2 linked regions of the Macaca mulatta genome follow. The protein of the gene in region 1 purifies or fractionates together with the protein of each later gene. This does not show direct contact. Links are inferred from orthologs where the notes say so. Each region holds a gene or a part of one and is shown on either strand. Other genes may lie near its edges. The genes, in order: MYO1E and OSTF1.

The links.
Region 2: the proteins of MYO1E (region 1) and OSTF1 purify together in Homo sapiens (co-immunoprecipitation; 3 studies listed by BioGRID and IntAct, counting the BioPlex papers as one, with this or other methods). This does not show direct contact. The link is inferred for Macaca mulatta from reciprocal best matches to the Homo sapiens genes MYO1E and OSTF1.

Annotation. Positions count from the first base shown.
Region 1 is NC_133412.1:36,535,426-36,539,256, reverse strand, and holds part of MYO1E (unconventional myosin-Ie), read left to right. Parts: intron 1-2,924; coding exon 2,925-3,121; intron 3,122-3,831. UniProt on the Homo sapiens protein: Actin-based motor molecule with ATPase activity. Unconventional myosins serve in intracellular movements. Their highly divergent tails bind to membranous compartments, which are then moved relative to actin filaments.
Region 2 is NC_133420.1:106,157,313-106,161,143, reverse strand, and holds part of OSTF1 (osteoclast-stimulating factor 1), read right to left. Parts: intron 3,591-3,831; coding exon 3,540-3,590; intron 744-3,539; coding exon 680-743; intron 1-679.

The sequences.
Region 1 (3,831 bases):
CAGTGAGGTGGCAGGTATTACATACCAAATTAACCTAAGAATTTTAATGAAAGAACAAGTCACTATTTTGATAACAGTGGGGAGGAAAAGTAGAGTTGATAGCGCCCCTCCTTTACCCCATTATTATTCACGGATTACAAAGCACAGAAACTCAACACCAAGGACAGACAAACCTTTTTTTATCATGCTGAGTCTTTTAAATTTGTAAAAATTGAATTTTATTTTTGCTACATCTTTTTGGTGTTTCTCTATTCCCTATATTTCAAATTTAGGTGGAAAAATTAAACCTAACTTTGCTTTACACTTTAATGCAGTAATAGTAATCTATCTTCATTATTTAAATGTGTGGAAATACTACTTTTTAGCAGGTTCTTCTATGTTTTCCATGACTCTGATTAACTATATCAGAGTTACACACCCACATTTTAAAATTAATCATTGCTTTCTCCCTCCCTCTCCCTCTCCAGTTCTCCAAGCTTCCATACTGACACTCCTGTCCAGACACACTCACAACTGCCTCATGGAAACTCACAGCCTGAAGAAAGCCAATATTAGCAGCCCTGTAATTTCAGCATTAGGGCAGGCACTGAAGAAAATATGAGGCCATAAAAGTTTGAAAAACATGGCATGGATTCTTTTTCAAGCCAAGCGATGTATTTCCTTTCTAGTGTCCTTCGCTATTTCCCTAAGCTTGTGACTGTGATTCTTGGCCCAGTTCCATTCCTTGTGTTGTGAGTGCTTGCAGCTCTCCATGCCCTCTTCTGCAGAAAAGGACCACAAGATGGAAGTAGAGCGTGTGTCTTTGTCGTCCCTTCTCGCTCTTTTGTCTCCGGGACTCTCATCTTAGCCCTTATTGTTGTATCTCTTTAGCAAAGGTCATAAAGATAATGGCATAAACATCTTAGTCAAATATTTTAACCATGTGGGAACGTGGTTAGGGCTTAGGAGAAAGCCATATTTACAAGACAGATTGAGGCTAATTATTCATTTTATGAACCTATTCACTGTATAGTTCCTATAAACAATGAGAGGAGCTCTTGTGACTGTCCTGTAAACTGCTGAGGATGATGTCCACTGCATCAAGTGAGATATCACTCTGATAATAAAACCAACAGGATACTCTTCCCTTAGTGAAGGCTTCTTATATGTTGGATATGTTGGTAAACGTCTGTTGATTCTCACAACAACCCGACATGGGTGCAATCTGATTTATGAATGTCATCTGTCCTTACTCTGTGCACAGGAAGTTTTAGTTCACTGGAAGACACACCCAGATTCCTAGACATGTGTTTAACACTAAAACTAAGTACAATGGCCATTTTCAGATCAGTGCATTTGATTTTGTTTACATGTCTTTTCTAAAAGGAAGCCCTTCTATTGCTCAAAGCATTTTTATGAAACACTCATATAGAGGATAAATGTCTTGTTCTGGCATTATACGTTTTCAAAATGTATTCACTGACTTATTCTCATTGGAAGGTGTACACTGAGAAATGTCAGCTCGTTATATTCTAACACCATCTGTGAAATTCAAACAGATTATCTTTTATTGGGAGGCTTGTGATTTTTTAGCATTATCATAAGGCCTTTAACAAAATTCTTTTATCAGATAATTTTGGTGAAGCATTATGCAAAAAAAGAAAACTCATAGCCAAGTTCAAAATTTCCATTGCATCTATAAAAATCTTTCATTCATATTGGAAAAATCTGAGCATTCTTTCATGTCGAAGAATGGTGTCATTTATTTATATGAGAACGGTCTGCCCAGAAATCAGGAAAACCCCATTTATATCACTAGCCCTCCTTAGTTAAGTTTCATGGTCTGAAACAAGATGTTGAGCTATGGAAGTCTCTGTTTTTCTATCCAAAGACCACAAACTACCATACTATGTGACATTAGGGCAGGATATGAACATCCCCTTCATTTCACTCTATATGCTACCCTCAGAGGAATCTTCTTATAATGCCCCTCTTTATTAGCCATCAGGCCCCCTTTTGCCTCCAGCCCAAATATATCATACCATGCAAGGACCGCCAGCATTGGAATCTGTCCTAACCTTTTTAATCTGACCTGAACTTTCAGCGGCAGCCAGTGCTAGTCCACACACCGTAGCCCGCGTCTCGTCTCTATCATGTCTCCCACACTTCTGCTTCCTCCCCTTGGTACACTCCCTTCTCCTCTCTGCATCTGTACAAATCCTATTTATCCTTTACACCCAGCTCAAATCTCTTGACTACCCCAGCAAGTAGTAATATCTTCCTGTTCTAATTTCTCCACATCTTGTCTGTCTGTGTTACATATTCAGCTTTTCCAAGGGTTCTTTATTTGGCAAACTATTTTTTGCCTCGTCTAGATTGCTTTCAAGATTTCTTACATATTTTCTATTCTTTCCTCCCTCTTTAGTAACCCTACACGTGCTAAATACTCAATAAACATGGGATTAGTAAACATGGTAATTATTAGTTCAGTAATATCAGGTGCTTCAAAAATGGTGCTATGAAAACATTGTACTAAAAAGGAAGAAAACAATATTTGGAGCCAAAGAAATGTTTCTTGATTGAGTTCCTTCCGGGCTGTCTTGCTGGAAGCTTGGAGAGATGTCCATGTTAGGCATTTAACTGTGATCTCGGTAGGAGGGATAGGTTTGCCATCCTTCTTGGATCCCTGATTTGTATTATTGGAAGTCTCAGTCATCCTAGGAATTGACTCATGTAATAAAACAATTGGGAAGAACAAAGGAGATGGATGTGTGTGGGATTACTGATAAGCAGCCTTCACTAGAACATAAGCTCTTGGGGCCTGTGACTGTGCCTTCTATGTATACACATGTGCATGTGCACATAAGTGCCTCCATATGTTTGTGAGATGAATTGGAAGTGTCCCAATTCTGAAAGATTGTCATGTTTTGTTTTATGTTCTACAGTTTTAGCTTTTCCTGCATATCTGCTAGGGATAAACCAGGACCGGTTGAAAGAAAAGCTAACAAGCCGGCAGATGGATAGCAAGTGGGGAGGCAAATCCGAATCCATCCACGTGACCCTCAATGTGGAGCAGGCCTGTTACACCCGGGATGCGCTCGCCAAGGCCCTGCACTCCCGGGTTTTTGATTTCTTGGTAGATGTAAGTAACACAAGTTGATGTTGGTGATGCTTCATATCTTAGCTATAAAGAGTCAAACTAGTAGGCTGGGCGCGGTGGCTCACACCTGTAATCCCAGTACTCTGAGAGGCCAAGCTGGGAGGATCGCTGCAGCCCAGGAGTTTGAGACCAGCCTCTGCAACGTGGTGAGACCCCGTCTCTACAAAAAACACAAAAATTAACCAGGTGTGGTGGCAGGTGCCTGTGGTCCCAGCTACTCAGGAGGCGGAGGTGGGAAGATCACTTAAGCCTGGGAGGTCAAGGCTGCAGTGAGCCGAAATTGTGCCACTGTACTGCAGCCTGGGGGGCAGAGTGAGATCCTATCTCCAAAAAAAAAAAAAAAAAGTAAAATGACTAATGGTTTTGTGTTCCTGTTCTGGCTCCTTCCTTTCACCCATTACTTTACTTCGCTTTCTGTCCTCTCACTCTGCAATCACTGAATCCTGCATTTCCTTCTAGAACTGCCCAACAAGATACCTTAGCTAAATCTAATATGGTAACAAGTTTCTTCTGGACAAAATATTCAGTAAAGCTAGGAGTAGAGACCAGAAAAAGAGGAGACCCACATTCATGGGCCTTTCTTGATTTGTGGGCCTAAAGATTTAGGAATATGTTTTCCACATACTTCTGTGTTACAAATTAACCCAAAACCTAGTGACTTGAAACCATAAGTGCTTGTTTTCTCAGTTTCT
Region 2 (3,831 bases), on another chromosome or scaffold:
ATTTTGCTTCCTGTATTCAGAAAGAACAATCAGCATAGCTACCTGCCTCTAAAAGAAGGTGTGTTCACTGCTGTCCTAGAATCAGTAGGGAGTGTTATTAGGAAATGGAAGAAAAAGGATTAAAACTCAGGAGCCTTGTTTATCAATTCTGTGCTCTTTTGACTTTATTCTGCTGACAACTAAATAAGTGTTTTGTCCATTTGTGCCACTTGCAGCTAGAAGCAGCTTCATGGCGGGAGCCGTGTCTCTCCTCTCTCAAGGTCCCCAGACTGCCACGATAAGCATTTAATGAACGTCACTGCCCCGAACATGAATTAACAAGGTCGTGTTACTCCATCACAAAAGAAAGGGCTAGTCTAAGAAACGATCTGCAAGATTGAGTTTATCAGCATTAAAAACAATTGTTTTAGGAGCTGAAGAAAGTAAAACCATAAGCGTTCTCGGAAACCTTGGGTTAAGAATGCTATAATGCTTTCTCTTAGGCCACACAGTCAGGCTCAAGCACATCTGGTGGTCATGACCAGTTTATTAACAGGAGGCTCATGGAATGGAAAATGTCCGAGACTGACAGTGACTCCATTGCCTTCTCAGCCACAGCAGCAAGCAGAGAAGCCTCAAGAACCAAAAAAATTCCAAGTGAACGAAGAATAGCTGAATAAAACCACTCAGCAACACTTACCATAGTTGCTTGGAATTAGTCCAGTCCTGCCTTTGGAGGTGCCTTTCCACCAGTTGGTGTCACTCTGGTAAAAGAAGAGTTAAATTAAGCGGTGTGAAATCCAGACTGCATTCATTCACTTTTCAAATTATTTGGCTCCTAGGGAGTACCTGTTCTACAAAATGTCCGTCAACCCTACCCACACTGTCAAGTTTCCTCACAGCCTAGCTGTGGGTGTCTGTCTCCCTTACCACTAAGTCACAAATAAATGTGCATCTGCCTGCAACAAATGGAATACGTTTCATGACAGAGTCCCAACAAACAAACAAATCAGAGATGATACGAAACAGAAGAAAACAAATTACGCTAGTTTAGACTAGCTATATGATTTTGTGTCCACAGTTTCATTTCTCTTAGCTCCGAGATAATATTTTTTATGGGGGAGGAAGTTCTAAAGATCTCTTTATATTATCTTCATTTTGGGGGTAACTTTTTACCATAGAAAAATTTAAACTTATAAAAAAAGAGAACAATGTAACGACCTTATATATACCCATTTCCCAACTGCACAAATTATTTCTTAATGATCAATATTGTTTCATATATGCCCCCACGACCTCACTCCCCTCCTGGATTATTTCAAAATAAATTCTAGACATCATATTATTTCATTTGTAAATATTTCAGTATGTATCTCGGAAAGATACATACTTTTTGAAAGACAATTATAATGCCATTATCACAGCTTAAAAGTTTTTTCCAACAATACTCAAGGTCAATACTCAAATTTCCCAACTGCCCCATAATTTGGGATTCAAATAAGGGCTATACAATATGATTGATTTGTCTTTTAAGTATCTTTTAATCTAAAGGTTGTCTCTCCATTCTTTTTTATCTCTTAGAAATATATTTGTTGAAGAATCCAGTTGGTTTGTCCTGTAGTTTCAACCTCTATGGATTTTGCCTGTTGTATCCCTGTGTTATCATTAAACATGTTCCTCTGTTCCCTGTATTGCCTATAAATTGGTCATTCGTTCTAGAGGTTTAATTAGATTCAGCTTCAATGTTTTTTGGCAAAGCTATTTCCTAGGCAGTACTGATTTCTTCCATTGGGAAACGCGTACTATCTAGTCGGCTTCTTTTCATAATGTTGGTAGCCTTTGATGATCATTGTCTAGATCCACTATTTCCTGGGGGCTGCAAGATGGTGACATGCTAATTCTATCATTCCTTCTTCATTGAAATAACCTGAATACCTCTTCAAACAAAAACTTCCTCATCAACTCTCAGGTTGCCCAGATAAGAAATTCATAAAGAAAACACAGAATAAATGGGGATTCTTCCCCTTAACGGTTGTCAGAATAAAAACCTGGTTTCCTAGCATTCTCTCATGCTGACCAATGAGATTTGTTCAGAAGTAACATTAGGAACTCATAAATTTAAATGTATTGAATATGTTTCAATTCTTGAAAGTTGTTGCCCTAATTGATGCTCAAATTGTCCTATCTTTGGCCAGTGGGAGTCTCTTCAAGTTAGTTCCCAAGTCCTTTCATTATGACCCTACTGTCTTTGGGAGCTTCCATGGTTTCTAATAAGAGGATGTTCTGGGTTTATCTTGTACCTCTGCTGCCCCTGAGTTGGTACTAACCATTTCTCAAAGAAGCCTGTTCGTTTCAATGGAAAATAACATATTATTATTGGGTTGGTCATTTTTCCTAGGCCCTTTCAAAGAACACAGCAGGGAATATTTTCGTTTTATTTTAGATAAAATACAATGTGATCCTTCCAATTCAGATGAAGGAATACAGAGCTTTTCTTAAACTGTCATTAATCTTATATCTGTCATTAATCTTGTATCCTTTTTGCCATGCTGAAAATCCGTTAGCAACATCACCAACCTAATGACTCATTTGCTCTAAACCACAATACACCTGCAACAATCTCAGACTTAGCAATACCAACATTTCCCTAACAAGGGCATGATTTAAATCAATTTACCCTTTTTTGGCCAGTTCTTTTTGTCCTTCATATATATATTCTTCATATGTATATATATGTTCTTCATATATATATTCTTCATATATATATGTTCTTCATATATATATTCTTCGTATATATGTTCTTCATATATATATTCCTCATATATATATATATATCCATATTCTACTATGGATGTTCAGTCAAATTGCTGAGTTTTAAACTTGGAATATTTCCTCTCTGTGTGGTTATGTCAATTACCAGAGTACAATTAAGGTCATTTGATTCATTCTGCTTTTAATTTTTAGGGATTGCTTTTTACTCCAATTTTTAACTATGTCAAGGTTTACATCAGTTCAAAGTCAAATTCACAAAACAAGGTATAATTTCCCAAAAAGTCTATCTTCCATCTATGTCCATTATACCCTATTTCCCTCCCTCCACCTAGAGAAAGGATATTTACTCTTCACAGAATAAAACTAAATTTTACTTCGCAACTCATCTTTCAATTTTTTATTCGAAATTGAGAAAAACAAGGGTCTGCGTGTGTGTGTGTATACATACACTCTCACCCTTTCCTAAAAAGTGAGGATATACTATCTATATTTTCTCACTTTGCTTTTTTTTCACTTAAATCACTTCATAATAGCATATAGAGATATTCCCCATTTCTTTCTATAGCTGCATAATATTCTGTTTGTCGATAGACCAAAGCTTATTCAACTCTTTTCCTATTGATGGAGATAAGGGCTACTTTCAATCTTATGCTACTATCAATTGTGCTAAAATGAACAGACTTGTACATATGTATTTCTGTGTACATATACATTTAAATAACTTACAATGTTATAGCTACATAAAACACTCTTTATATGTGGTATTACAAGATATTATCTGGACTTACCATGTCAGTAATGTAGATAATATCACCTTCCTCAAAGTATAATTCATCTGGCTAGAAGAAAAAAAAAGTTTGACTCCATGTGATTTTTCATGAATTAGAATATAATCATTATATAGATTCAAAATTCTATCATATTCTAATAAATAATGTGGTTTTATACACTTAAATCAGCACATAAGCCATATAATAAAACACTACTGAAAAATTAATACATGAATAGATTTTTTCCCATGATGAACTTCAAAGAATTACATATATAAAGATTCTCCAACACATCTTGTATTCTTCTACA